Oryctolagus cuniculus: one gene and its partner. The main gene of each other region encodes a partner of the protein of the gene in region 2 in a complex. Links are inferred from orthologs where the notes say so. Each region holds a gene or a part of one and is shown on either strand. Other genes may lie near its edges. The genes, in order: TMEM107 and TMEM231.

The links.
Region 1: TMEM231 (region 2) and TMEM107 share a complex: the UniProt entries of both Homo sapiens proteins name them as parts of the tectonic-like complex. The link is inferred for Oryctolagus cuniculus from reciprocal best matches to the Homo sapiens genes TMEM231 and TMEM107.

What each region holds. Positions count from the first base shown.
Region 1 is NC_091448.1:52,661,025-52,676,478, reverse strand, and holds TMEM107 (transmembrane protein 107), read left to right. Parts: upstream 1-6,449; 5' UTR 6,450-6,674; intron 6,675-6,895; 5' UTR 6,896-8,269; coding exon 8,270-8,356; intron 8,357-8,471; coding exon 8,472-8,534; coding exon of another isoform or gene 8,535-8,539; intron 8,540-8,630; coding exon 8,631-8,731; intron 8,732-9,300; coding exon 9,301-9,405; intron 9,406-9,617; coding exon 9,618-9,687; 3' UTR 9,688-10,399; downstream 10,400-15,454. UniProt on the Homo sapiens protein: Plays a role in cilia formation and embryonic patterning. Requires for normal Sonic hedgehog (Shh) signaling in the neural tube and acts in combination with GLI2 and GLI3 to pattern ventral and intermediate neuronal cell types.
Region 2 is NC_091449.1:57,930,890-57,946,325, forward strand, and holds the start of TMEM231 (transmembrane protein 231), read right to left. Parts: upstream 6,711-15,436; 5' UTR 6,608-6,710; coding exon 6,469-6,607; intron 6,376-6,468; coding exon 6,206-6,375; intron 1-6,205. Other genes in the region: GABARAPL2 (gamma-aminobutyric acid receptor-associated protein-like 2), read left to right, coding at 13,460-13,493, 13,840-13,895, 14,913-15,085. UniProt on the Homo sapiens protein: Transmembrane component of the tectonic-like complex, a complex localized at the transition zone of primary cilia and acting as a barrier that prevents diffusion of transmembrane proteins between the cilia and plasma membranes.

The DNA of each region.
Region 1 (15,454 bases), on a different chromosome or scaffold from region 2:
AACCAACTAAGCCACGGCGCCCGCTTGATGGGAAGTGGCGCCATGTTTCCTTGGCCCGGTCAGGTCCGGGGAGGAGGATGGCAAGCACGTGGTTTTTGTGGTCGTGCGGGAAAATGTGGTCGCAGAGGGCGGGGAGAGAAGCAAGACACGAACGGGACCGAAACGCAGTGAATCTGGCGGAGGAAAGAGAGATCCTCGCGTTGGGAATTACAAAACGGAAAGCGAGCGCTCACGACGGCGCGCCGACGAGGATGGGATTCGAACCCACGCGTGCAGAGCACAATGGATTAGCAGTCCATCGCCTTAACCACTCGGCCACCTCGTCCACACGTCCGCCTCACTCGTTCTTCTCTCAGGCACCTGAACTCTGCCCGCCGCCTGCGGCACGCGCCTCCATCGTCAGTCAGGGCCGCGCGCCCGGGGGAGCCCGCCCGGCCCCGTGAGGAGAACGCGCCGCGCCGGACCCAGCGCCTGGCCCTGAGGCGCGAGCGCCCGCCCCTCCTCCCTCTGGGCTGAGCCCTCCGGGCCCGCGATCCCGCAGGGTCTCGGTACTGGATCCGTCGCAGACGCCCCGCGAGGCCGGCGGGCTCTTCCGACGGGGGAGGCTTCGCGGTTTGGCGCCACAAGACCCCTCCTCTTTCCGGCCCTTGAGAAGGAGCTGCACGTTCTCCGTGCTCCGGCGGCAGCGCTGGCGCTGGACCCCCAGTTGAAATAAAGGGGAGCTAAATAAAAAAGCGATTGAGGAACCAGAAAAGGAAGTGACCCCGACGTGATTTGAACACGCAACCTTCTGATCTGGAGTCAGACGCGCTACCGTTGCGCCACGAGGTCGGCCGGCCAACGCGGGGGACAGGTCCATTCATGACTACTGCGGCCTGGGCGTGCTGCAGGGGTCCTAAGGACCCAGATGCGCGAAGGCTGAGGGTCTCCTGCGTGGCGGCAGGGGTGGGGTGGGGGCTGCGTTTGCCCACCTGTCCCGTGGGTCCAGCCGAGCTTGGAGGACGAGCCGGTAGAGGGCTTGGAGCTGGTCCCCGGGCGGGTCACAGAGGTCGCAGCCTCGCTGGGACGGCTCGCCCAGCACCGCGCTGCGGGACAGATATCGGCGGACCGTGGTGGAGCCAGGGTAGGGTCCAGGGGGCACCTGTGAGCGGCGGGACGTCGGCTCCCTGCTGTCCGCACGTTGCCATCGCGGGCGGCGCGCTCAGCGGGACCCCACGCACCGTCCCGGGCTCGGAGGATTCTGATTCAACCCCCCCGGGGGGAAGGACGCCCCTGACACCCTATTGATAGCCTCAAACGTTCTTGGGGTGATTCGCACAGATCTTAAATGCGTGCTTTGACAACCGCGTACTCCTGTGCGACTCACTCCTTGAAGACACAGGACGGCCGCATCACTCTAGAAAGTTCTCTCGTGTCCGCTCCCGAGGGACGCCCGCCCCTCTGTGCACGGCCGTAATTCCCATCGCCGTGGACGTTAGCGGTTTGTAAAGCTCCCCACGTGACACAGGGCTGGGCACTTGCAAGGAAGTCCACCTGCCGCCGGAAGAGGCCCCGGTGCTTCTAGAAGCTTGAGAGGGGCTCAGCCAGCCGGGGTGGAGGAATAAGCCATGGGGGATCCCACCATCTTCCAGGCCAGCCTGGAAGAGGCTCTCCTAAGGGTCCTCAGAACTCACTTCCCACTTCCGGCCCCCACATCCGGTCAGTTCCATTCTCCTTGGTGATTTTTCCAGCCGGCCCCTGCTCCCCATTCCCACTCCCACCCCCACACCTTCTCCTGCCAGATTATTTTTAAGACTCCTTTCTCACCTCCTTGCCTCCAGAGTCCGCAAAGAGAATAGTCTCTTTCAAAATGCAAACGTGATTCCACCAGGCCTTGGCTCAAAGTCAGACCTAATTTGTTGAGTGGATTCACAAGGTCAGACAGCAAGACCATTTGGCTCCGGGACAGTCCCTGAAAGCTTGGTCTCTGTCCCCGGTGCCGAATCAAAGTGACAAGGACAAGGCTGGAGGACAAAGGAAGGAGAAAGTTTAATCTCTGTGGACAGGGCCGGGAGCAGATTAGCAAACTCAAGCGCTACTGTACTGCTTAGTAAGAGCTGCAGGGGGGGGGGGGGGGGGCTGGCTTCACAGAAATGCGGGAGGGGCGGCCCATTTTGGGAGTAGCTGTGGTCAAGGCCAACACCGCTCAGCCAGCTACCGAGAATGCCACAGCAGACTGCCACGTAATCCTTGTGAAAGTGTGCAGGTGCGGAGAGTGCCGGGTTGTCTGTAAGAGCAAGTCCTAAGAGTTAAAGCGTTCCCACAGCATGGGCAAACAGAGAAGCCTGTGGCCTGGCCTTGAAGCCTAACATAACATATGCTTTGTGATGGCGGCCTGGAAGCCAGCGTTTGGCTGGACTCAGTGGGAGCAGACTTGTGCACTGTGGTGAAATCTGCCGCCTCGCATTTGATTTCGCCGATTTCGCCGAGAACCAAGCCCAGCCTTTTTCAGATCACCCTGTGCCTGGTTACAGAACCACGTTACCAGAGTTCACATACAGGCTTTGCGGCTTAACTGGTGGTGTAACTTGGACTGGTTTTTCAACCTCCCTGTGTCTCAGTGACCTCATCCCTGAAATGGCAAAGATGGTAACACATCACTATGGTATCTGTCTGCTACAGATCACAGGCTCGGAGCCTGGCCAGTGGTGATCACGGAGCAAGAATTTGTTCTTAGTAATAGTACTATTGGGTCCTTGCCTGATCTTCAGCCACTCCCCCCTCACCACTTGTGCACAATGGTCCCTTGTCTCTATGTCATTATCCCTGCTATTGCATGATAATTTTTCAAGTCCTTACATGCCACTCAAGGCTCACCGTCCTCCCCACTTCTGCAAGAAAAGGCCCTTTGTCTTCTCTAAGAGAGCACTGAGAATTTTACATTTTAAGGGCAAGGGTTTGGTCTAGAAGTTAGGGCACCCGTGTCCCCTATCTGGATTTGTGTCCTGGCTCCCAATTCTAGCTTACCGACAATGCAGAGCCTGGGGGGCAGTGGCGATGGCTCAAATAGTTGGGTCCCGGCCACTCACATGGGAGACCTGGATTGGGTTCCTGGCCCCTGGCATCAGCCTGGCCCAAATCCCAGGGCTCCCAGCTTTGGTCAGCACCATTAGAGATGTCTGAAACCAATGCAGTGGATGGGAACCCTTCTCTATAAATAAAACATGTTTAAAAGAGAGAAAATTGACATTTTGTTTCTTCGGGATGTCCTGTCCCTTTCTAGTAAGAAAGTAGGAAAAATGTATTCCTAGCACACAGCACAATTCCTGCAATGTGTGTTTCAGTAAGTATTTGTGAAGTTAAGGAAGGCTAGCTTTAGCAAGAGCAGGAAGTGGGCCACAGAGTGGCTTACAGAGGAAGGTTTGTGTGGGCACCTGAAGGACACGGGGTGAGGCGGATCATTTTGGTTGAAAGGGAAGTTGGCCCAGTGACTATGGTTACCGGGGACTAGGGACTCGATGTCTAGGCATAGAGTGGTCTGTGGCACTCTGTTGTTGACGCTTTCATTCATGCCCCTGGTTTCCACATTTTAGAAGCCATTAAGTAACCCTACTGCATGGCCCAATATGGCAGTCACTGGGTTGACTCTTCAATCTAGGGCTACCCGAATGAAACTTAATCTTAAAATCTCAGTCCCTCAGTCCCGCTAGCCTCATCTCAAGTGTTCTGGTGCCACATGGAGCTGGTGGGCTGCCACGGTGGACACAGACAATGTGCACTCTTTCCTTCCGTCATCACAGCAGAGGGTCTGGAGCGCAAAAGCTTAGTAGGCTGAGGGCTGGGTCCCGTGGCCTTCAAGGTTATTTTTTCTTCTCATTTGTTTTTCATTTTCAAGTTGCGGAGACCAACATTTAAGACCAGGATGAGAGGAAGTAACCCAAACAAGCAATCTGGAGGCACTGGACTTGGCTTCTCTCCAGGCTGTGGAAGCTGAGCTGGGCAGCACCGACCCCCTCTCTCACCTCCTCACCTCAAACACGTGGGCGTTGTTTCTACTGATCTCAAGGAACTTCCTGTCTGTGGTGTGCTGCTCCTCCTTGCAACACACACTCCATCCAGGGGGCCTTAAAGGGCTTGCATCCTGTGCCACCCCCACACCAACACAGAGGCTCTGCTAGGTGCTCAGGAAAACAGGAGGGTAAGTGAAGAAACAAACAAAAAGTATTTCAAGAGGAAAGAAGCAAGCAACAGTATTGAGTGCTGCTGAGGTGTGTTGTCATTGAAACCCCGTTGTCTAAGAGGTACAGGCGGAGAAACTGAGGCACAAGGTGATATATTTACCTGTTTGAGGTCTTAGAGCTTGTAACCCAGCCTGACTCAGGCATCTGAGCTCTTCACGGCCACACTAGTTCTTTAACTCTGTAATCACTTGATTGATGGCTTCGTTATTGTGTCTGTCTTAGGGAATATCTTAGCTCAGGCTGCTGTAACAACATGCTGCAGACCGGGTGGCTTAAACAGCAGACATTTCTGTCTCACAGTGGTGAAGGCTGGGAAGTACAAGATCAAGCTGCAGGCAGATGTGTTTCCTGGGGAGGCCTTGCTCCCTTCTCCCTGAGTGCTCACACTTGGAGAGACACATGTCTTCCTCAAGAGGGTCCTACCACCCTGACCTAATCTAAACCTAATCATCTCCCACCTCAAAATGCCGCCGCATGAAGGGTTAGGGCTTTAAAACCAGGGCATATCCAAAAGTTCATGGAAAATGGAACTAAAAGATACTTTGATACAAAAAAAATGGAATCCAGGGATAGTTTGTTTTACTATGCAATTTGCATAAACTGGTTTGGCATACTTTCGTGTATCTCATAAAGGTATAGAAATCATAATACATGAAGAACACTTGTAACTCAACAGTGAAAAGACAAACAATCCAATTAAACAAACAAACAAACAAAAAAAAAAAGAAGAAGAAGAAGAAGTTAAAGGGCCAGCTCTGTGGCACAGTGGGTTAAAGGCCCAGCCTGCAGCACTGGCAAACCATATGGGCGCCAGTTCAAGTCCTGACTCCACTTCTAATCCAGCTCCTTGCTAATGCACCTGGGAAAGCAGCGGAAGATGGCCCAAGTGCTTGGACCCATCACCCACAAGGGACACCTGGATGGAGTTCCCGGCTCCTGGTTTCGGCCTGGCCCAGCCCTGGCTGTTGTGGCCATCTGGGGGAGTTAACGAGTGGATGCAAGATCTTTCTCTGCCTCTTCCTCTCTGTAACTCCACTTTTCAAATAAAATAAATGCATCTTTTAAAAAAAGGTAGAATGAGAAGCTCGTGTGCGGCGGCGGTGTCGGCAGCGGCTGCAAAGAGAAGAGTTTGGCGCGATGTCTCATACCATTTTGCTGGTACAGCCTACCAAGAGGCCAGAAGGCAGAACTTATGCTGACTATGAATCTGTGAATGAATGCATGGAAGGTATTTGTAAAATGTATGAGGAACATCTGAAAAGAATGAATCCCAACAGTCCGTCTATCACATACGATATCAGTCAGTTGTTTGATTTTATTGATGATCTGGCAGACCTCAGCTGCCTTGTTTACCGGGCTGATACCCAGACATACCAGCCTTATAACAAAGACTGGATCAAAGAGAAGATCTATGTGCTCCTCCGCCGGCAGGCCCAACAGGCGGGAAAATAATGGAGTGGAAGCAGTAGGGGGATGGGGGTGGGCTTGGAACACAGGTGTGTACAGCGTGCTGTAGTGGGAGTTTTGTATTATAGTGATCCTGTTTCCACTTGGTACACTCTAGCCAGATTGAATGTATCAGATGAAGTGTGAGAATGTTGTTCAATCTGAAACCCCCATTGCCCCTTTTTTCTTTTCTTTTTCTTCCCTTTTTTTTTTTTTTTACTTAAACATTTTTATGAGGATTTAGATGGAATTTTTTTGTCAGTTAATGTTGGTTCCAGAGCTTCAGACTGTTGAGATCTGCTTTATAACAGTCACTGTACTAACCCTTAGAGATGGGGTGGGGGGTGGCTCAGTTTAGTTACATCCTCAAGGCAAACTCTTAGTGGAAAATAAATGTTCTTTAGTTATAAAAAAAAAAAAAGGTAGATTGAAATACACAAAAGATGTTAAAATCTATGTGGTCACCATGCTACTAAAAAGATCTAGTTGTGTTTGTAGGACACTACTGAACCGGGATTCTGAAAACTGGCAAATAATGGAAAAAAAAAAAAAGGACCCATTTATCCTGCCTTTCCTGTATGACTCGTATCTCATGGAAAATTCTTACTGATAAAAGAATTCTAGCTGGTAGATGCAGAAGAGGGCTCGAATTAGGCCATCCCCATTTTGCAATCGCTATTGAAATCATGCAGTTAGGCAATGAGGACCCGTGGTACCATTAGGTGAGAATGGATGAAGAATTTTATCACGGGTGGCTCAGCCTGACCGCACCCGAAGCCACCACTCAGACTTCAGCACCACAGACAGACAGACACACAGACAAGCAGGATTCCTGATGAGGTGAACAGAAAGTACAAACCATCCCTCGGGATGTGATCTTACCAGAAAACTGAATGACACATAGATCAACCATTAGACCTGACCATCAGTTTGCAGGAAACACAGTGCCAGGAGAGAATGAAATGACGCCACACGTGGCCCAGTATCTTCAGCAAGAAAAGAAGGAAGGTGAGGTGATGGGGAGGAGGGCAAACCCAAGATTAACAGAGATTTCAGACATGTCAGCCAAGTGGACTTTATTTGTACCCCAATGCACACGTGTGGGGTTGTGGTGGAGGGGAGGGGGCAACAAAGCTGACCACGTGCTGACAACTGTTGAGGCAGAGCAGTGGCCCTCCCAGGGGTTTGTTATACTGTTTCATTTTTACGTTGTGTTTGAAATTTCCTAGGATGCCAAAAAATGAAAAGTTTGCAAGTTCTTTTGTCACCAATTCAAATGCTGAGATACCGAATCCAGCCCTGGAGTGAGTGGCCACCTACGGGAGGACAGCTGGTCACCCGCAGCACAGCCCATGGCCACCAGCAGGCTCTAAAACCCAGGCAAGAAACGACTTTCTCTGAGGCAAGTTTCTATAAACCAAGGTTGTGGACAAGGACAAAGCAGACATAGGCTGCCCACTCCCTGTTCATGAGTCCACACCTAAGGACCTGAGAACTCGGTTTGTACTGTCTAGCCCGTCTCCTAGGCAGAACGCCTACTGAGCAGAATGCTCCAAACCTCCAGCTGTTGAACGCAAAATCCTTGGGTCACCTTGACTCTCCCTTTTCCTCACCCACCCACAGGCCCCGAGCCAGACCCTCTCCCCAATCCTTCTGCTTTGCTCCATCGTCTTTGCTTCACCCTGTCCTTTCTGGATACTTCTATGGCTTCCTCGTTAGTCTCTCCATATTGCAACCTGGGTCGTGGAGAATACGAATCTGACCACGTCGCGCCTGGTGGCTGCAAGGCCTGCCGCGACCACGCTCCACCTCCTTTTGGGCTGCCTACCACTAGGCTTTGCAGTGCAGGCTGACTTGAAGGCTGGGGTTACTCTCCTCAGAAGCGGGGAGGGAAGCCCCTTGGGTGTGCGCAAGCAGCAGGGGTCTTCCTGGAGCCCGTGCGGCCGGTACCTCGGAGACCCCGGAACCAGAGCTGAGCCTTGCGTCCCAGGCAGCTCCAAACCTCCTGTGCGGGACGCTTCGTCCACGCTCGCCCTGTCCAGTCCCGGCGGGGCCGTCCCTAGGCTGAGGCTGCCACCATCTTCTGCACTATGCAAATCCCTCACCGAACCCGGCAAAGATGTCTGGGGTGCTCCGACCACCAAGGGCTCCGTGACAACGGGCCTGCCGGACAAGGTAGGTCCAGTGAACGTTCCACGTTGGGCTCAGGGCACAAGGAAGCTACGAGGACGGAAAGGGAAGACCGCGTCTGAGCCTCCAACCTAAGACCGGCACGCCGGCCGCAGCAGTCCGCGAGCACCTCCTCCGCGGACAGGCCATTCCCGGCAATGCAGCCTGGGGCCGCGCCGCTCCGGACCTGAGCAGCCAGCGAACCCCCGGACGTAGTCCTCCGGTTAGGAGGCTGGCGGCCGCAGCGGGGTCCCCGAACACGGCGCACTTGCACGACGGCGGCTCGAGAATTTACGGCTCTCGCGAGATCTTCAGAACCCGAGGCGCACGGTCCGCGTACGCAGTTACCAAGGCAACGGGGCGGCCCCTGAGGCGCGCGAAGGCCGCGGGCCGGGAGAGGTTTCCCAGCGCCGCCGCCCGCGGCCCTGAGGAGCATGAGCCGGATCTCGGGGCTCGTGCCCTCCCGCTTCCTGACGCTGCTGGCGCATCTGGTGGTCGTCATCACCTTATTCTGGTCGCGGGTAAGACCCACGGCCGCCACTCCGCGTCGCCATCTCGCCGTGGTCGCCGCGCCCACCCCGCCCGGGGTCTCAGCCGGCCTCTCTCACTTCCTTTCCTTTTCTGCCCGCTCCCCAGGACAGCAACGTCCAGGCCTGCCTGCCCCTCCGATTCACCCCCGAGGAGTATGAGAAGCAGGACGTGCAGTGAGCTCTTGGGGGGGTGGGGGTTCGAAGGAAGAGGCGGTGGGAGTCCCGGAGGCCGGGGGTCCTGAGCCGCTCCCCTTCCTCTCTGCAGGCTGGTGGCCGCCCTCTCGGTCACCCTGGGCCTCTTTGCCGTGGAGCTGGCCGGCTTCCTCTCAGGAGTGTCCATGTTCAACAGCACCCAGAGCCTCATCTGTATCCTTTCTGCCCCCACGACCCGTTTCCAGCGCGACTCCCTTCAGCGACCCCCTTCCCCCCAGGAGCCCCGCCTCTGCTTAGGCAGTGCAGGGATTTGACACAATCCTCAAACAGTTGTGGATGCCGCTGTGCACCGGGCCCTGGAGGTAAATGGGGGTGAGGCGGAGGCAGACACACACACACACACACACACACCCCACTATCCTCTAGGAGGGGGTAAAAGAGCCAAGGATTGAGGGAGGCGCTTGACTCTCCAGTTGCGGGCCTCCTGGTGGAGAGTGATTCCAGCAGAGAGGATCAAGTCGCTGTCCGCATTCCTGTGGGGTCCATGGGGGCCTGCTCTGACCTCCCCTCGGGGGTGCAGGCTGGCCCCTCCATGTGGGGTGAGGGTAGCCTGGGGTCTCGGCAGTGCAGGCTCAGCGCAGGCCGCTACACGTGGGCCTGTTAAAATCAGAAGGCAGGGCTGCTGACTCCCGCCGTCGCACAAGGCCTGGGAGCTCCACCACTGGCCTGCCATAGCCCGTCGCTGTTGTGGCCCCAAGACTTTCCTTGACTCCTGTGTGTCGCCCACAAGCCATCGCAGCGCACTGTAGTGCATCTGTAGCCCTGTCGTTCTTCATATTCGAGCGCTGGGAGTGCACCACGTACTGGTACATTTTTGTGTTCTGCAGGTGCGGTTAGCACCCAGTCTTGGGGGGTGGGGAGGAAGGCTCGCCCCATCCAGCTCTTCCCTGAATGTTTGAGACACCAAGACCACATCCTGTGGTCCTTTGAAGTCCCCCCTCCAATCCCACCCTCTACACTTCGGGGCTGGGATGTCTGGTTTGGAGATTCGGGTATTTATGTTGGAAGGGGGCCTGACCCCACCACCTGCCTTCCACAGCGCCCTCCCAGCTGTCACTGAAGTGGCATTATTCATCGCCGTCTTTGGGCTGAAAAAGAAACCCTTCTGATCATCCTCACTGCAAGAACGTGGAGAACAGGGCTGGGGGAGCCAGAAGCTCCCGTTCCTGGCAGGACAGCGTCGCCGCGCCCCGGAAACTGCTTCTGGTGGAGGATGTCGGTGTTGGGATAATTGTCTGGGATAGCGTTTTAGTCAGTGCTTTGTAATAAATAAAATCTATTTTATAATAAGATCAAAATTTATACAATTTTCAGGGAACAGTTGAGTTGGCCAAACTACTGCAGAGACTGCTTTCCAGCCCATAGAACAACAGGGGTCGCTTCTATTTTGGGTATTACGGTAGAGTGCTGGCGGCAGGGATGGGCGGAGATATGTAAATAAGATTGTGTATGCTCAGAACTCACGAGCACGTGAGGGAGCAGAGCATTCTGGGAGGAGTTAGTTTATTCCTTTTTGGCAATCGAATGTAAGAAGTTTTTTTTTTAACGTTACAAATAAATGTCGAAATATGATTGAAATAATTCAAAGCAACTGGGTTTCTCCGACTAACGCGTTGCGTATTCACCCTAGGTCTTAGGGGCATCTGCTCCTCTGAATATGGAATGGCCGGGGCGGGCCGGTATCGTCAGGTGGGATAATCCTTACCTGTTCCTCCTTTTGGAGGGCAGATAGAACATGATGATTGGAGTTCGCATGATGCGTGATTAGCGTCTCTGCGTAATCAGGACTTGCAACACCCTGATTGCTCCTATCTGATTCTTCCTGACGATCACCTTCATCTTTTTGGTTTGTGCTAAATGATAGATGTGGATTGTGGGAGAGTTGTTTTGGCTTGGGGTACACTGGTTTGTGTTCTGGTAGATAGAAGTTTCATTTTTTCCTGAGAATGTTTTCCTGCCGGTACTGTGTTTTTCCGTGCGCCTGCGTGATTCCTGTCCCTGGTGGTCTACTTTCTCCCCTCGGCCCACATTGGAAGCCCTGGAGAAACTCTTCACAATTTTAGCTAACTGCCCTGAGCAGAGCACATCTTTTGATTTCCTGTGAAATGGTGGTTCCTATCAGCCACCCTGGGTGTCACAAGTGTTTTATTTAATGGTCCTGGCAAGAAGGGTGGACTCCTCTGGTGGGTACCCCACCTGAAAACCTGACGATGCACCCCTGTTCAGTCTTGTCTGATGAGACCACCTCCTGAAGAAAGCTGTTAAAACGCATTGACACAATAGGACACTGTACAGATAGGCGAGTTTACAAGAGTCTACAGTTCTGTCATATAAATATTCTCAGGGTTCTGTGTAAGCTGGGAAGGTTTCTCTGTAGGTTTTTTAACCCAGAGTGGTGGAGTCCAAGCTGTTCCAAATAACCGAAAAGCGTCTGGTGTTGCCTTTCAGGTGCTGCCTCACACACATAACCTTTCCTTCTGCCCCCTGGCACTGCAGCCCTTCATCCATAACATTCATTCAGTGAGTGCTAATTGAGCACACACTGAATGCAGAAAGCCCTGAGCCCTGACCCCTACTCAGTCGACCCTGCTGTGGAACAGGGGTTACTTTGCTCAAGGAGGCAGGAGTGGTGTCAGTTCCATGAGAGCGTGACCGGAGCAGAGAGGAGTAGGAGACTTGATCTGGAGGGTTCCGTCCCGTCACAGTCTGCCTCTCAGTCCCACCCAGTGCAGTGCTCCGACCACCTTGGGGGAAATGACTGTTCTTCAGTAACTTTCTGAGCCAGGTGATAAACACAGACATTATTAAAATTTAATTATGTAAACTTACAGTTAAATATTTTCAACGAGATAATAAGTACTCAAAGCCCATTACTTCCTGATCATTTTACTATAAAATGTTCTTAAGGTTGACTGCATTTGTATGGTGGAAATACTGTATAATGATTTTCGACTGTGCATCTCTTCTCTTAGTGATGAGTTGGCATTGGTGGAAATCTATACACCAAAGAAATCGGCGGATGCTACAAATCAGTCCTTGTAGGTTGTCTGGATTTTAAGACAGAGATGGAGAAAAATATTAATAATGCAGATTAAACTTCAAAGTGTTATCTCTGCAACTGTCACATTGTGAATAGCACACAAATCTGAGAAAATATTCTCCCAGAATTTGAGAACTATTATCAGAGCCAATAAAGAAGTACCTGTGAAAGCAGTGAAGTCTCAACAGATAACATCATTGTTTCATTTTGTCATGAATGAAGATAGGAACCAACATTCACATTGGACTAAGCTTGTAGTTTGGATGCAACATTTATGAAATAATATATTAATTTTTGAAAGATTTATTTATTTTATTTGAAAGCAGAGTTACAGAGAGGCAGAGAGAGAGGTCTTCCACCCAGTGGTTCACTCCCCAGATGGCCACAACGGCCAGAGCTACGCTAATCCGAAGCCAGGAGCCAGGAGCTTCTTCCTGGTCTCCCACGGAAGTGCAGGGACCCAAGGACTTGGGCTATCCAAGAGGGCCATAACAGAGGCAGCTGCAGCAGTCTCCTAACCACACACTTCTTATCCTCATTGCAGACAAGGGACAGCCAGGAACCCCCCAGACCAGAGACTCTAGGAAGCAGGCCGCGGCGCTTGAACTGGCTCCCATATGGGATGCCAGCACTGTAAGTGTGGCTTTACCACTATACCACAGAAGAGGAATTTACAATAAAGAATATGGTACACTTTATTATTTGTAAATTCTGTACTATATGTATTTTTATCAGTACAGTTTATAATAAACGTACATATGTACAGAAATGCATACCGGTTTTGAGAGCTGGCTGTTAACCATTCGCCAGCACGCACACTCTGCCCCTGCCATCACCAGGGACTGCCTTGTTCCCAAATTCAGAGTCGCCGCTCAGACTCGAGCTCCACAGCTCTGAAGTGTTGACTTCGCCGCCTTCTGAACCTTCTCCTCCCTCGGCTCCGGAATAGTGCTGCCCCTGGCTTGAGTGCCCACGGTTCGTCCATCTCTGGGGACGCAGTACGGGTCTGTCTCCTCTGCTTGTCTCCTTGGGCGACTTCACCCACCTCTTGTCCTCAACCAACAATGTGAGCCCTCACCCTACCTTCCAGGTCCAAGAGCACTTTCTCCCCTTCTTGCCTGTGAGAGGGGCAGCAGGTCACCTACCCTCTCTCTGCCTCAGTTCCCTCATCCGTACTCCAGCAGTAGCTACCATGAACTCCTGTCTTGACCCAGACCAGGGGCTTTGCCGGTTAGCATCTCTATTGTGAAACTAGTGGTGTTCTAGAGAGGAGGGCTGCCGCGGAGATGGTAGAGAGGCTTCACCGTCTCCAACAAAGGCCTGCAGCCTGAACCCTGATCGGTGGCGCCGCGGCCTGCTTCCTGGGGTCTCTTTGGTCTGGGAGGTTCCTGGCTGTCCCTTGTCTGCAATGAGGATAAGAAGTGTGTGGTTAGGAGACTGCTGAGGCTGCCCCGGTGAACCTGTTCCTGCACGGGTCAGGGACCTCACTGACCTGAGAGAGCAGACGTAAGATCCAGCTTCCCATTGATGGGCCCAGGAGCAGTGCACGATGGCCCAAGTACTTGGGTTCTCGCCACTCTTGTGGGAGACCCGGATGGAGTTCCTGCATGAATGGTTTCAAATCTGATTGCTAACTCTCCGGGAGAAGTACCTGTAGGTACAGCAGAATTCTCCCACAGCTCAAGCTTTGTTCCAGGTGGTGGAGCTGGAGGAGGGGGAGGGCAAGCTGCCGATGCCTATCAAAGAGACCAAATTGGCTCCGGTTAGTTCACAGCAATATCTCTTCTTCGGTTGTTGAGAGGATGAGCTGGGATAATCCAGGTGCCTGTGTGGGGAGAGTTGACTTCCATCCTATCCCGGTGACATCTGTTGTCTGTCCCCGTTCACCACCGATCCTTTTTTATTTTTCTTCCTGGTAGCAGCACCCCCATTTTCCTTTGGGATTTTCCCATGTTGGCCACGAGGTCCAAGCCTGGCCAGTAAGAATGTCCCATTTTTCCCAGCCACAGTGATTGGCTGAGGCATGAACCTTGCCGATCCAGGACTTTTGAGGGAAGTTTTGGGAAAGAGGATCCTAGTCTGAGAAATAAAAGCACCCTGTGGAATAAAATGATGGAAACACCAGTGCGGTGACCGGCTAGGCCAATGGAAGACGTAAGACAGCCCAGACGCAGGACTCGATATATAGAATTTAGTAGATGATAAGGAGGTTACTTAAAAATCAGTGTGCGTGGGGCTGGCATTGTAGTGTAACGGGTTAAGCCTCCGCCTGCAATGTTGGCATTCCACCCGGCCACATCCAGTTCTGGCTGTCCTACTTCCAATCCAGCTTCCAGCTAAAGCACCTGGGAAGGTGGCAGAGGATAGCTCAAGTCCTTGGGTCCCTGCCCCACAGATGAAACTCCTGGCTTCGGCCTGGTCCACTCCTGGCCATTGCAGCCATTTGTGGAGTGAACCAGTGGATGGAAGATAATCTTAAAACAAAAAAAAATATATCAGTATTGGGAAGGTTTGGTGCAATGGTTAAGAGCCTGCTAGGGACACCCATGTGCCATATAGGTGAGCACCCATATCCCATTAGGTACGCTGGGCTCTGCTCCTGATTCGAGCTGAAAGACAGCTGATGGCTCCAGTACTCGGGTCCCAGCACCCATGTGGGAGACCCAGATTGAGTTCTAGGCTCCTGGCTTCAGCCTAGTCCAGCTCTGGCTGTTGTGGGCACTTGGGGAGTGACCCGACAGACCCGACAGATAGAAAATCTCACGGGGGTTAAACCGTCATTTGCAATGCTGGCATCCCATACTGGAGCACCAGATGGAGTCCCAGCTACTCTGCTGATGAGCCTGGGAAGGCAGTGGATGTGGCCCGAGGACTTGGTTCCTGTCCCCCATACGGGAGACCCAGACAGAGTTCCAGACTCTTGGCATAAGCCTGGCCCAGACTGTCTATTGAGACCATTTGAGGAGTCAATAGGCAGATGGTTGATCTCTCTCTCCCTCTCCCCTCCCCTCCCTCCTCTCCTCTCCTCTCCTCCCCTCTCCTCCCCTCTCCTCTCCTCTCCCCTCCCCTCCCCTCCCCTCCCCTCCCCTCCTCCCTCTCCTCTCCTCCCCTCCCCTCCCCTCCCCTCCCCCCTCTCTTCTCCTCCCCTCTCCTCTCCTCTCCTCTCCTCTCCTCCCCTCCCCTCCCCTCTCCCCTCTCCCCTCCCCCCTCTCCTCTCCTCCCCTCCCCCCTCTCCTCTCTCCCCTCCCCTCCCCCCTCTCCTCTCCTCCCCTCCCCCCTCTCCTCTCTTCCCCTCCCCTCCCCTCCTCTCCTCTCCTCTCTTCTCTCTTGCTCTGGTTCACCACCTTTCAAAGAAATACATGTTTTTTAAAAGACAAAAAGTTTTCAGACAGTAGGGAAAACAGGGATTAGTCAACGAAAATCATTAGAAGAACTGAGTAGCTAGCCATCTGGGGGAAATATTGAATAACGCTTCAGAGCGTTAAAAAGAGAGAGAGAGAGAGAGAGAGAGAGAGAGAGAGAGAGAGAAGGACCACATAAAGGACTCAAAGAATCCGGGAGCGGGTGTTTGGCTACTGGCTAAGACTCTGGTTGGGATGCTCTTGTCCTGTATCAGGACACCTGGGTTTGAGCCCCGGCTGTGCTCTAGATTCCAGCTTCTTGCTCGTGTGCACCCTGGGAGGCAGCAAGTGGAGGTTCCAGTGGCTCGGGCCCTGCTAGCAGTGAGGGAGATCTGGATTGCGTTCCTGGCTCCCAGCCTGGCCATGGTGCTGGCCAGTGCAGGCATTTTGGAAGGGAACCAGTGGAGGAAAGCCCTCTCTCTGTCTGTTTAAAAA
Region 2 (15,436 bases):
GTCAAAAAAAAAACTCTCTCTCTGCCTCTCCTCTCTCTGTGTAACTCTGAATTTCAAATAAATCTTTAAAAAATATATACAGGGAAAAATAGAAACATAAATATTAGAGGACTAAAGAGGCCAAAAGGGAATATGGGTTATATACAGAAATGACAACCCCAGGGAGCAAGAGAAGAAAGGCAAGAGCCTGGAGTTATCAGATCCCAGAGGCTTGACGCAGCAGCCTCGGGGAGCTGGGACTTGGACCTCAAGAAGGGAGTGCTGCCAGCTGGTGCCGGTGCCTTCAGAGCCAGGGGGAGAACGCGGGGAGGGGACCTGTAAGGTGGCAGGAGAGAGTAGTGTCTTAGTCCTGCCTCTGTTTGCTCGCTGTCCCTGTCTGCGTCACCCCAGCAACTGTTCACCCTGGCTGTGGTTTTCCCACTCCTAGCACAAGGCTCATTGTGCCTCCTACTGGCGGAGCGGGAAAGGGCCACTTGGCTGCAGGAGATGCCGCGAACTGCACAATGCGATTGGCGAGTGGGCGTGTGCCATGCCTGCATCCCATGCCGGGAGTTCCAGGTTCCTGGCTTTGGTCTGGTCCAGCTCTGGCTGTTTCAGATACTGGGGGCGTGAATCAGCGATAGAAGATTTCTCTGTCTCTGTGTCTTTCAAATAAAACAAAAATAAATAATTTTTTTTTAAAAAAAGCTCAGATGTTTCTAGTCAAATCAGTCTTGACTTGTTACATCTTGACCCATCCAGGATTTTGCAGTATCTGATGGTTTGTTGGAATTTTGTGTGGTATCTATTCATTCTTGGTTTACGAAAAGCTAGTTTCCTAATTTACTCCAATGTCCACTTCACAATATATGATGATACTTCCAAATGTCCGTGGAAAAATGGAATTAAGGGGCCGGGGCAGTGGGTTAATCAGCCTCCTGTGACATCGGCATCCCATATGAGCACTAGTTTGAGTCCTGGCTGTTCCACTTCAGATCCAGCTCCCTGCTAATGTGCCTGGGAACACAGTGGAGACGGCCCAAGCACTTGGGTCCCTGCACCCATGTGGGAGACCAGGAAGAAACTCTTGACTCCTGGCTTCAGAGTGGCCCAACGCAGGCTGTTGCAGCCATCCAAGGAGTGAACCAGCAGTTGGAAGATCTCTCTTCTCCTCTCTCTGTAACTCTGCCTTTCAAATAAATACAACCAACAAATAATCAAAAAGAAAAATGCAGTTAAGAGATAAATCTATTGGGGCACAAAAAAACTGCACAAGCCCCGCATGGTTGTTTTCGCCATGTGCACTCTCTGAATTTTTTAGACTCCGCCCTCATACTTGTTACCCCTTGGTGTTTTTGGTCCCCTTTTAGACTGGAGATTCTCCTGGTATCAGTCTTTGAGTCTCCAGCAAAGCAGGGACACTGCTTCGTGGTTCCTAGAGTCATCAAATCCTTGCTACCTGGTTTTCAAGGAATCTGACACCTCAATTACAAAATGCACCATTCTTCTTCTTCTTCTTTTTTTAAAGAGTTAGTGAGAGAGAGAGAGAGAGAGAGACAGAGAGAAAGGTCTTCATTCTGTTGGTTCACCCCCCAAATGGCTGGCACGGCCGGAGCTTCGCCGATCCAAAGCCAGGAGCCAGGTGCTTCTGGTCTCCCATGCGGGTGCAGGGCCCAAGCACTTGGGCCATCCTCCACTGCCTTCCCGGGCCACAGCAGAGAGCTGGACTGGAAGAGGAGCACCTGGGACCGGAACCCGGCACCCATATGGGATGCTGGCACCACAGGCGGAGGATTAACCAAGTGAGCCACGGCGCCGGCCCCAAAATGAGCCATTATTCTGTCTGCCAGTAAGAAAGGAAGAACACTTCCAATTAAACTATGACCCCGCACTTTCCAATCACTTCGAGTAGTTTACACCTGATGAGATGGATGCTGGATTTACACATATTTATACCACATACCACAGTCACCATGACTCAGTCGATGACCTCCATACTTTTCCACACATTCTGTCCTGTCACTGAATATGCTGATGACATGACATTTCACATTTATTTACTTTCATTTTATTTGAAAGGCAGAGAGACAGAGAGGTAGTGACAGAGATCTCTGGCCTGCTTGTCCACTCCTTAAATGCCTGCAACAGCCAGGGCTGGACCAGGCCAAAACCGGGAGCCCGGGACTCACTCCAGGTCTCCCATGTGGGTGGCAGGACCCAACCGCGTGAGCCCTCAGTGCTGCCTCCCAGGGGGCACGTTAGGCGCACGCTGGTGCTGGAAGCGGAGCCAGGACTCGAATCCAGGCAGTAGGATATGGGATGCAGGCCTCTTAACCCCAGGGCACCACGCGTCCACCGGGTGATCCCACTTAAAAAGCAATTCACAGAGTGAACTACAACACATTGTTCTGGGCAGTGCAGCAGGCTCCCCGGTCATTTGGACCCGGTGCATTGTAAAACGCTGCTTGGGAGAGGCTGAGACACCCTTCACTGCTGCCCTGGGGCTTTCTTTCCAGCAGCTCCTGCATCTCCTGCAAGCTGTGAAGCCGCCCGCCCGGTGGCTGTGTGCAGCGGGAGGCAACGAGGACTCTGCAGAGCCTGCGTCCTGGCCAGCAGCAGGCGTCAGACACCGCGGGCAGGAAGACGCCATGGTTTCGGAGGCACAGACACGCGGCAACCCCTCTTACCCCCAGCATCCTCTCTGAGCCCGCAGCACTTAACTTCTCTGGGCCCCCACACGGACCCGTCAGACCCATTAAGGGGAAAGGTCACCTGCTTTGTTCTTCTCACCCTCAACACGGCAACAAACAACAGCTGGACTTTGAAGGCACCAAAGGCAAGGTGTGGGGTGAGTGCTGCAGCTTTCCTTTTATTTGAAAGGCAGAGAGACAGAGAGGTAGTGACAGAGATCTCTGACCGGCTTGTCCACTCCTTAAGTGCCTGCTTGGGACACCCACTTCCCCAACTGCAGAGCCAGCGACTTGGAGCCCTGGCTGCTCCAGGACCCAGCTCCCTGCTAACGCATCCTGGGAGGCAGCAGGTGGTGGCTCACATGTTTGGAACCCTGAGACACGGAACTCTGGCTCCTGGCTTCTGTCTGGTGCAGCCCTGGCTGCTGCAGGCACCTGGAGAGTGAATCGGTGGGTGAAAAACTCTCCCCTCGCTCCCCAGGTCATTTTGCCTTTCAAACAGATGAAAATAAACACTTTAAAAGGTATCTTATAGGCCAGTGCCGCGGCTCACTAGGCTAATCCTCTGCCTTGCGGCGCTGGCACACCGGGTTCTAGTCCCGGTCCGGGGGCCAGATTCTGTCCCGGTTGCCCCTCTTCCAGGCCAGCTCTCTGCTGTGGCCCGGGAGTGTAGTGGAGGATGGCCCAAGTGCTTGGGCCCTGCACCCCATGGGAGACCATGAGAAGCACCTGGCTCCTGCCATTGGATCAGTGCGGTGCGCCGGCCGAAGCACGCCAGCCGTGGCGGCCATTGGAGGGTGAACCAACGGCGAAAAAAAAAAAGAAGACCTTTCTCTCTGTCTCTCTCTCTCACTATCCACTCTGCCTGTCAAAAAAAAAAAAAAAAAAAAAAAAAAAAAAAAAGGTATCTTATAAAATAATATTAATCAAAGAGAAGGGGGGGACTTTAGAGATGCTGTCCAAGGTGAGCTGACCAAAGCAGAACCCAGGCTGTTTGTGACTTCCGAGGCATTTTCCCAAATTAGCAGTCACCAAGATGCCTCCCCGCACTTGGTTCAACCTTGACTGAGGACCGCTGTTTCTGTAGCTTCCTAGACAGTTTCGCAGACAGCTTGAAGCCAGTCGGGCTTTATGTTCAGAGTCAGAAAATAAAAGTATTTTGCTGTAACAAAGGTTGAGAGTCTAGGGGCCAGTGCTGCGGCATAGCAGGTAAAGCTACCGTCTGCAGGGTCGGCATCCCAGGTGCTGGTTCGAGTCCCAGTTGCTCCACTTCCAATCCAGCTCTCTGCGGTGGCCTGGGAAAGCAGTAGAAGATGGCCCAAGTCCTTGGGCCCCTGCACCTGTGTGGCAGACCTGGCAGAAGCTCCTGGCTCCTGGCTTTGGACTGGTGCAGCTCTCACTGTCGTGCCCAATTGAGGAAGGAACCAGCGATGGAAGACCTCTCTCTCTCTCTGCCTTTCCTTTTCTCTCTGTGTAACTCTGACTTTCAAATAAATAAATAAATCTAAAAAAAAAAAAAAAAAAAAGAATTAAGAACCAGGGCTAGCATTGTGGCGCACTGGCTGTAGGGGGTAGGGGAAGAAAATATTCCATTCGAGGCCGGCGCCGCGGCTCACTAGGCTAATCCTCCGCCTAGCGGCGCCGGCACACCGGGTTCTAGTCCCGGTCGGGGCGCCGGATTCTGTCCCGGTTGCCCCTCTTCCAGGCCAGCCCTCTGCTGTGGCCAGGGAGTGCAGTGGAGGATGGCCCAGGTGCTTGGGCCCTGCACCCCATGGGAGACCAGGAGAAGCACCTGGCTCCTGGCTCCTGCCATCGGATCAGCGCGGTGTGCCGGCCGCAGCGCGCCGGCCGCGGCGGCCATTGGAGGGTGAACCAACGGCAAAGGAAGACCTTTCTCTCTGTCTCTCTCTCTCACTGTCCACTCTGCCTGTCAAAAAAAAAAAAAAAAAAAAAAATTCCATTCGGTGGTACACTCCCCAAATGGCACGATGGCCAGGGCTCGGACATGCTGAAGCCAGGAACCAGAAGCTTATTCCAGGTCTCCCACATGGATACAGGGCCGCAAGCACCGGGCCATCCTCCACTGCTTTCCCAGGCACATTAGCAGGGAGCTGGATCGGAAGTGGGGCAGCCAGGATTCGAACCAGTGACCATATGGAATGCCAGGGCTTTAACCCGCTGTACCACAGTGCCAGCCCCAAAATTACCCAGTATGAAAGTGATCTCATGGTATGGGTACCATAAACATTAAGAGTTAGTTTTGGCTTCTCATTAAAATTGGAACTGCACGCCAGATGCAAGGGGGGACCAGGGCGGTGCACTGAAGGGAGTGGTTGGTTTCTGGTTGCAGAGCTAAGAGGCCAACAGCAGCTGTGTTGCACGAACCCGTAAAAACAATGAATGAATGAAACTTAATGGTTTATCCTTGTCTTCACAATTATCTCAAGCCTGCATGGTATTTCTTAGACTCAAATGACCAGAAGCACATGATAGAGAGGAATATAAACATGTGGAGAAAAAACCTGGGGCTAGTGCTGTGGCACAGTGGGTTTGACCTCTGCCTGCAGCGCCAGCATCCCCTATGGGCACCGGTTCAAGTCTTGGCGGCTCCACTTCCAATCCTGCTTCCTGCCACTGTTCCTGGGAAAGCAGCAGAAGACGGCCCAAGTACCTGGGCCCCTGACACCGACGTGGGAAACTGGGTACTTTCCTAATTAAAATAAGTCAATAGGGGCTGGCACTGTGGCGCAGCGGGTTAACGCCCTGGCCTGAAGCACCGGTATCCCTTATGGGTGCAGGTTTGAGACTCGGCTGCTCCACTTCCGATCCAGCTCTCTGCTGTGGCCTGGGAAAGCAGTAGAAGATGGTCCAAGTGCTTGGGCCCCTGCACCCACTTGGGAGACCTGGAAGAACCTCCTGGCTCCTGGCTTTGGATCGGTGCAGCTCTGGCCGTTGCGGCCAACTGGGGAGTGAACCATCAGGAAGACCTCTCTCTCTCTCGCTTTGCCTCTCCTTTCTCTGTGCAACTCTCATTTTCAAATACATAATAAATCTTAAAAAAAAAAAAAAGCCAATAAATTTCAGAAGTAACCAGAGAAAAACTATCTGTAACAAACTTTCTAGTTATTCATACGACCTATCATCTTTTTGCTGGGAACATTTTTTACACGAGTTTGTCTTGTAGGCCACTCACCTCAAGGACGTGGAAGAAGGAAAACTAGAAGTTTCGGCCCTCTTAAAGAAAAAGTCTCAATTTTACCCCGGACAGATGCACGCTGGAGCAGCCTCTGAGATCACGTGGGGCAGGCTCCCTCCGCCGGGGCCCTGCCGGGGAACAGGTGCGGGGCGCCCGGTCTCCGAGGGTCAGTCCTGCCCGGAGACGCCCGCCCCCGACCCCCAGCTTCCGCCGCGCCGCGTGAACGCGGCGACACCGCGGGACCCCGAGCGCGCACCGTGCCCGGCCCGGGTCAGCACGCAGCGCTGCCCGGGTACCTGGGCGTCTGGGGGAAGCGGAATTCCAGGCGGGAGCCACGCACCGAGACGAGCGGGACGCGCAGGCGATCCCCCTGCAGCCGGTTGAAGGCGGGGAAGGTGCTCCAGGCCAGGAAGCCGTCGCGCTCCGGTCCCAGCAGGGCCACGAGCAGTACCTGGTGTTGGAAGCGCACGGTCGGCTGCTCCTCGTAGCTGCTCCGCTTCAGCCAAAACCCTGAGAGAAGAAGGGCGTGAGAGGGAGAGGGGGACAGGTCAGGCAGGCCGTCCCGAGCGGAGGCGGTGGCGCGCACCGGCCTAGCAAGCTCACCGTGGCTCCGGAAGGCCACCAGCAGCGGCGGGATGTAGGTGAGCGCGGCGGCCAGGAGCAGGAACAGCGCTGCCTTGGAGCAGAGCCCCGCGCGGTAGCCGCGCTCGGCCGGGTGGGAGTAGAGCTGGTACAGCGCCATGGACGGCGCACGCCGAGACCCCTACGCAAACCGAGAAGGGACGACCAAGTTTGGCTGTTCCCGGCTGCCATCGTCGTGGTCTCCACGGCAACCGGCGGCGCCGGGAGGAGGACCAATAGTAGCGGCGCGGGCCTCTAGAAGGGGCGGAGCTACCTGGAGAGGGGCGTGGTCAGCCAGTGGACGGGCCACCGAGAGGGGGGCGTTGCGTGTTTTGCTTCGGGACGGCTGAGGACGGCTGAGTGGTCCACGCTGATGCCCGCAGGTCGCACACGCGTGGCCTCGCTCCTCGACCTGGTCCTGGACGAAGGCCAAGGCCGGGTTGCTCCGCCTCTGTGTTCTGTGGCTCCGGAAGCAGGACAGCGCACAGGACCCAAACCCTCGGCTCTGGGGCGGGCAGGGTCATTACTACGTACATTGTTACCTGTATTGGGTGCAGGTTCGGCTGCCGGTTTCAGAGGGAGCTACTAAACAAGATACATTTCTTTTTAAAAATATTTATTTGAAAGAGTGACAGAGGGAGGCAGAGATCTTTCAACTGCTGGTTCGCTCCCCCAAATGGCCCGAGGAGCCAGGAACTCCCTCTGGGTTTCCCACTTAAGGGCAGGGGCCTGAATATCTGGGCCATCATCATCTGCCTCCCAGGATGCCCGAGCAGGAAGCTGGAGTGGAAGCCGACCAGCTGGGACTTGGCACTCCCCTCTGGGACGTGTTGTGCAGTGGGTTAAGCCTTTTTTTTTTTTTTTTAAGGTTTAATAATTTATTTGAAAGAGTTACAGGGAGAAGGGGAGAGAGATCGTCCATCCGCTGGTTCACTCCCCAAATGGCCGCAGCAGCCAGGACTGGGCCAGGCCAAAAACAGGAGCCAGGAGCTTCAACTGGGTCTCCCACTGGGGTGCAGGGGCCCAAGCACTTGGCCCCTCCTCTGCTGCTCTCCCAGGTGGAAAGTGGATTGGAAGTGGAGCAGCCAGGACTCAGTTGGCACCCACAAGGGATGCTGGCCCTGCAGATGGTGGCTTAACCCGCTGCACCACAGTGCTGCCCCAGTGGGTTAAGTCGTACTTCCCAAAGATAACATTGGTTTATTGCTAATTGATTGCCCACCGCCTTCTCTGCCAAGCCAGTATTTTGAACAGGGTGGAAGGATTTTTAAAACCTATGATCCAAAAGAAAGGAAAAGAAAAAAAAAAGTAAGCAAACAACAAAAAAAAAGAAAAATAAATAATAAAACCAATGGTCCACAGCCAAGTTCTCCATCCAAAGGCCCTGAAGACTCCAGTTGCAGGATCAGGAGTCAGTGTGGGGGCCGGTGCTGTGGTGTAGTGGGTAAAGCCACCGCCTGCAGGGCCAGCACCCCATATGGGTGCCAGTTCGATTTCTGACTGTCTGCTTCGGTTCCAGCTCTCTGCTATGGCCTGGGAAGGCACTGGAGGATGGCCCAGGTCCTTGGGCCCCTGCACCCACATAGGAGACCCGGAGGAGGCTCCTGGCTTCACACTGAGGCAGCTCTGGCCGTTGTAGCCATCTGGGGAGTGGACCTGTGGATGGAGGACCTCTCTCTCTTTCTGCTTCTACCTTTCTGTAACTCTGCCTTTCAAATAAATAAAATAAATCTTAAAAAAAATCAGTGTGAAGGTTTGTGCTTAGCAGCAGTAGTTGATGCACTATTTTGAAAGCAGCCTAGAAGTGGCTTTCCCAGAAAGAGAACAGCTTAGAGGCTGCCAGCAGAGGCCAACAGAAAGGGATCGAGCCCTGCCCAGTGAGGACAACCATTCCAGGGTCCTCACTGCAGTCCAAGCTGATAATTAATGTCATGAGTCATAATAATGATAGACCAACCCTCTCCTCACCATTGCTTGAAAGCTTTAGTGGGAAAGGGGTGCTCATATAGTTCTTTTTTTTTTTTTTAAGGTTTTTTTATTTATTTATCTGACAGAGTTACAGACCATGAGAGAGAGAGACGGAGAGAAAGGTCTTCCCTCTGTTGGTTCACTCCCCAAATGGCCGCTATGGCCGGCGCTGTGCCAATCTGAAGGCAGGAGCCAGGTGCTTCTCCTGGTCTCCCATGCGGGCGCAGGGCCCAAGCACTTGGGCCATCCTCCACTGCCCTCCTGGGCCACAGCAGAGAGCTGGACTGGAAGAGGGGCACCCGGGACCAGAATCTGGCGCCCATATGGGATGCCGGCGCCGCAGGCAGAGAATTAACCAAGTGAGCCACGGCGCCGGCCCCTGCTCATATAGTTCTTAGATGCAGCACCTCTTAGATCTGTGGCATGGTTCTTCCATATCTGTGCGTTAAGTGGACAACTTGCAGCTACTTAAATAACCACTCAACGAAGGTCTTGTGGAACAGATGGGCCTACAGACTTCTGAGGGTAAGAAGGACGCCTGTGCTTCCAGGGTTTCTTCCGACAGGAGGAACACACACCGCGGTAAGTCACTGCTGAGACAGGAGGAGAGCACACTGTATGAAATGCTTGAGTCTCCCACGAGATGTCACAAACCTCGCAAAAGTAAATATAGCAGTGGACAATAATGCAGCATCCTGGCTTCCATGATTTAAAGCAGCTAGTGTTTGTGACTTTATTTCAATTCTTTGAGACAGAATATTACATTTTAAAATGCCATTTGTGTGTTTCATGCCATTTTCACACAGTTAAGGCTGAGAACTGACTTTGCAGTTTCCATCTCCATACTGTTCTTCATGTTTCATACAGTTTACCTCCAAGAACAGTCATTCTCTTCAAGCTGCATGTCTTGATCACGTTCCTCTCCTTTACAGGAGCTTCTACTCCGGGTCTCCGGAGTCAGCTTTGGAGTCCTCAGCACTGGCTTCCAGGCGTTCCAACACTTCTTTCACCTTGGCACCCATCTCTCTGCAGCTCCTCTTCCACTGGTGGCCTTTGTTTGTGTCTGGAAAGAAAAATGTACCCGTTCCTCTGCATCCTCAGATCCACAGTCCCTGCGAAGTCCTTCTCCCTACGCCTCACCTGGCTTTGTGTTGGCCCCATCCCTCGCCCTGGCCGTACCTCGGGTATCCGTGCGTGCGCATCTCTCCAGCATTTTAACAACTCATCCTGCACGTCCTATAGGTTGTTAACGTGGAATTGCACGGATTCATTATCCTTCTCCTCCTGACCCCTCCTCAACTAACCACCCCCTCAAGGACAGATCCAGTGTCCTTGGAGCATTCTGTGGGCTCATTACAATGAGCCGAGAAGGTGATGGATGCCTCTCATCAAGGCAGCTCAGAGAAGCCATTTCAAAAAATGAACAGGGGCCGGCGCCGCGGCTCAGTAGGCTAATCCTCTGCCTTGCGGCGCCGGCACACCGGGTTCTAGTCCCAGTTGGTCGGGGCGCCGGATTCTGTCCTGGTTGCCCCTCTTCCAGGCCAGCTCTCTGCTGTGGACCGGGAGTGCAGTGGAGGATGGGCCAAGTACTTGGGCCCTGCACCCGCATGGGAGACCAGGAGAAGCACCTGGCTCCTGGCTTTGGATCAGTGCGGTGCGCCAGCCGCGGCGGCCATTGGAGGGTGAACCAACGGCAAAGAAAGACCTTTCTCTCTGTCTCTCTCACTGTCCACTCTGCCTGTCAAAAAATAAAAATAAATAAATAAATAAATAAACAAACAAACAGGAAAAACACAGCAGGAAAGTAGTAAGCATGGAAGACAGAAAGACAATGCAGGTCATCACTGGGACCATCGGGGACATGCCTATGAGCTGATGAGCAGCGACCTTGCCCCTAAAAGGGTACTAGGCACCTCCACAGGGGACGTGATAAACACATCTCTGGGACTGTGGCACAAATCCAACTAGGTAAAGGCAAACAGAGGTCTTGAGTCCAACTTCTAACTCCTCCACTGATTTACTGACTTCAGTGTTCAGTTTTTTATCTGCAAAATAGCTACTTTCATTCATGTAGCTAATTTCATCCAGTTCAGTAGCTTTAGATACTTCTTTCCTAGGGCCATTCACCCATTCTTCAGCTTCACTTGGATGTGTCTCTTGGGTTTCTCATATTTAATACATCTAAAACCAAACTTTTGGGGCTGGCATTGTGACATAGTGGGAAAAGCCACCGCCTGTGATGCTGGCATCCGTAGGGGTTTGGTTTGATTCCTGACTGCTCCAGTTCTGATCCAGGTCCCTGCTAATGGCCTGGGAAAAGAAGCCAAAGATGGCCCAAATTTTTGGGCCCCTGCCACCTATGTGGGAGACTGGAAGAAGCTCCTGGCTCCTGGCTTCTGATCAGCGCAGCTCTGGTGGTTGCAGCCATCTGGAAGACCTCTCTCTGTCTCTCTCTGTCTCTGTCTCTCTGTCTCTCTCTCTCTGCCTCTGTAACTCTGCCTTTCAAATAAATAAATTAATCTTTAAAAAAAAAAAAGAAATAAAACCAAACTCTTGATTCTAATCCTGCATGCTAGCTCCACCCTATTTCAGTAAATGGCCATTCCATCCTTGAAAAAACCTTGACTTTAACTTATCCCTCACATCTCACAACCAATCTGTCAGAAAATTTGTCAGCTCTACCTTCAACATATATCCAGAGCACAAGTGCTTCCCAGCATGTCCCCAGATACCATCTTGGTTTAATCCAACATGATCTTTCACCTGGATTTTCACAATAGCCTCTTAACTATTTCCCTGCTTCCACCTTTACGCCCCCATAGTCCACTGTTAACACAGAAGCTAGCCTGGTCATTGAAAAAGGAAGATTGTATTATGCCTGTACTTAAAATCCTCCACTGCTCATCTAAATGTATATAAAATCCAAAGTTCTTTGCAAGAAATTCAAAGTTCAACAGTTTTGTTCTAGATGACTTTGATCCCATCTCCTAATACAATCCTCATTGTTTACTTACTTTCAGTGGCAGGGTTTTTAGGGGCACACATAGCCCTCCATTGCTTTCCCAGGTACATTAGCAGGGAGATGGATTAGAAGTGCAGCAGCTGGGACTCGAACCGGCAACCATATGGGATGCCGGCACAGCAGGCCAGGGCTTTAACTCCTGTGTCACAGAGCCTGCCTTGCGGCAGGGTTTTTAGTCAGCACTCTATCCCACCATCACCGTCTAGTCATCTACTTCATTTTGTTCTTCTAACCAGCACTTATTAGCATATCACATATTTATTTTTGGCCTTGTCTCATGGGAATGCAGCCTCCATGGGAGCAGTGGTGTTGTCTGTTCACCGCTCTGTCCCTTGCGCCTGGGGCAGTGAGTGTGCTTGTGTACCACAACACCAGTTTCTTTCTTTCTTTCTTTCTTTCTTTTCTTTTCTTTTCTTTTCTTTTCTTTTTTTTCTTTTTTTTTTTTTGACAGGCAGAGTGGATAGAGAGAGAGAGACAGAGAGAAAGGTCTTCCTTTGCCGTTGGTTCACCCTCCAATGGCCGCCGCGGCCGGCGTGCTGCGACCGGCGCACCGCGCTGATCTGATGGCAGGAGCCAGGTGCTTCTCCTGGTCTCCCATGGGGTGCAGGGCCCAAGCACTTGGGCCATCCTCCACTGCACTCCCGGGCCACAGCAGAGAGCTGGCCTGGAAGAGGGGCAACCGGGACAGAATCTGGCGCCCCGACTGGGACTAGAACCCGGTGTGCCGGCGCCGCTAGATGGAGGATTAGCCTATTGAGCTGCAGCGGCAGCACCAGTTTCTAAGTATGAAACTCAAAGGATTTTCCACTTCGTTAACAAACCCTCTTCTGGCTGTTGAGACACGCAACCGTAAATGCACAGAAATACTTGTAGACTGAACCCTGCATTCCACAGCATCCGTGGGGAATTCGATCTGTAGGAAGTGATGGATGACATTATTCAAACACACAGGCCTTTTGGATGCAGCAGAATCACAAGCATGTAGCAGGGGTCATGTGCCCAATTAGATGAATGTTCCGGTCACATGTTCACCAGCTAATAAACAGATGGTGACCCAGGACACCCTGCCCTGGTGACTCTGCTTGGAAGAAAGGAATCACATCGCTGAGTGGAGAACCTCAAGGCTACGTGCAGGCAGGTGACACAGAGGGCCCGGCTGTGCCTGCTAAGCCACTCCCACTGCCCAACAAGGAAACCTGCCCCGTGACCAGCACTCAGAGGAATTCCGGCCTGGCAGTCACCTCTAACTTCCCTGCTGGGTGAAGGTTAAGGGATCGCTGTGTGGCCGCTGATGTCACACAAGCATTTGTGACACCCTCCATATGCATCCACACGTATATTCGTGGATCAAGGAAGGAAATGGGATTCCTGTATGATTTCTGGATTCAAGGTAACCTAGCATGGCTGACCTCAGTGCAAGACCCCCTGGACGTCATCAGCTCCCCTCCCCACACACAGCCCTCAAACTGCCAACACTCCCCTATGCTGAGTCCCCCACCCCTCACCGCTGCAAATATCCCCCAAACTGTCAACGCCCTAACAAGAGACCACTCTTCTGTCATTCATATTCCTAAATACCCTTCTGGTCAGCACCGTCCCAGACTTCCCCTATGAACAACCCTAAGAGCCCTAGCCTCTCAGCCACGCCCCCAAAAGTCTTCCGTATCAGTCACCAACGCCCTGGCGCCCCACCCCCGTCACAGGTCCTCCAGCAGTCCTCCCCCGACCCAGTAGCCAGTAGCCCTCAAGACACCCCTGCCACCAGCGCCACAGCCCGATCGCCCCCTGCGCCCCTAGTGCGGCCCCGCCCCCTGGAGCGGCGACCCTGCGGGCGGCGCCGGAAGCCCCGCCCCTGCCAGTTGCTAGGCTCCGGCAGCCGGAAGTCCCGCCTGCCGTGTAGTCGCTGCCGTCGTTGTTGTTGTGGTCGGTTCGCTGAACTCCGCGGCTCCCGAGAGCCGGCTGCGTCCCCTCGCTGCCGCCGCCATGAAGTGGATGTTCAAGGAGGACCACTCGCTCGGTAAGCTCTCGGCCGCCGGCCGGCCGGCCCGCGGGGAGTGGGGGCGGCGGGTGGGCCCCCTCCCCCACTCGGGCCGCCCTGGGCCGGGTCGGGCGGGGCGGATGCTGCGCTCCGGGCTCGGGTCGCCGAGGGCCCGGGCCGTCGTGGGCAGCCGCCCCCTGGCCCGGTGCGGCCCTCTGCGGCCCCTCCTCCGGGAGCCCGGGGGCAGAGGACCGCGGTCGCGGAGACACCGGACGAGGGCCGGGGCTTGCGCAGGTCGCCGGGGGAGGAGGACCGCGAGGGCCTGGGGCCCGGCACCGGCCCGGCGGGCAGGCGCCGCCGTCAGCCCGGTGTGTTTCTCTCTCAGAACACAGATGCGTGGAATCCGCGAAGATCCGAGCGAAATACCCCGACCGGGTTCCGGTGAGTGTGGGACTCCCCGCCCCCTCGCCCTGCTGGCTCCCCTGTCCCCTGCCCGGGAGCGGCGACGGGGCCCAGCCGTGCGACACTGGGTGAGCTGAGGTTCCGGACCCCGCTTGGCGTGGCCGGCGGTCCCCCGGCCGGGGTCGAGGGGCTGGGGCTGGTGCTGTTCAGGTGCCTCAGTGCTGAATCTCCCGATCTGGGCCAGCGAGCTGTCTACAGCCCCAGGGCTCCCTGGCCAATTACGTAAGGAACGATGTTCTAGGACAGGGCAACAGGTCACTGCCACTTTTGGGAACGGTGGCGGAGCGACTCACCGTGGTCCTGGAAGCGGCCCTTAGGTTTCGGGACGTGCAGTCTTTCACTCTGCGTGTCGGGCTCGCGGACTTCTCGTTCCTCTTGTGCACGGGGACCATGTCGTCTTGCCTGACCGAGGATGCTGCAGAGCTGCGGGGAGTCCCTTCTCCCGGGTCTCCTTTTAGTCAGTGATGCATTCGCGCCTGTAGTTTGTGGTCCGTGTTGGTTTGGAGAGGTTCCCCTGGGGAGGGCACAGACCCGAAAGCTGTTCAGAGAAGCGACAGGCCACCCGAGGAGCCTGCCAGGCAGCCCAGCGGCCCGCCCGTGCTTGCCGGCTGTGTCCGTGGGCCCTCAGTTCTGCAGCGTGGAGGTGGGTCCACTCTGGGGTCCTGGAGGAAGCGGCTGTACAGGAAACACCCACCAGGCATTCTCAGATCTGCCCAGATGAGATGTTGAAAGCCTCGGTAGCTGATTCTTCGGCATGCCGCGATCAGGATGAGAGGCTTAATTGACCACAGAGAAGCACTTACTGTTTCCCCATAATAGATGTGTAGCAGTTCCTGACGTCCAGATCGTGTGGCTGCTGGAGCCGGCGGGGTCTGGCCATGCTCGGCTGTTTCCCACCCAGCTCCTTGCCCACACTCTGCCCATCAGTGCCCCGCCAGTGTGGGGGAAGAGCCTCACGGGAAGAGACCCAGTCTTGACTTCTCTTTACTTTCCCAGGTGATTGTGGAAAAAGTCTCAGGCTCCCAGATTGTCGACATTGACAAACGGAAGTACCTGGTTCCATCTGACATTACTGTGGCTCAGTTCATGTGGATCATCAGGAAGAGGATCCAGCTCCCTTCTGAAAAGGCGATCTTCCTGTTCGTGGATAAGACAGTCCCACAGTCCAGGTGAGGTGCTGCCACACAGACCTCCGAGGGGGACGTCTGCCCGGCTGCTTAACACCACCAGACCCTTGGGAGGCCTCGGGATCTGCCTGGAATCTGGGTTTTATGGTCCCTGACACCAGGAGCGCCAGGAAAACAAGAAAGGGCTGCCATAAATGGGAGTGCACTTTGGATTAAGAAAATAGAACGAAGCCTAGACGGAAGAAAAAGAAAAACCCAGGCTCAGCCACCCAAGAATACTGGGAAATAGTCGAGCACGCAGGTCGGCCTAAGCCGTAGGTAGAACAAGGTATCAGACGAGGTTTCTCACGGGACCGTGAGGTCGCCCCTGCTGCTCTGTCAGGAGCTCTGGGC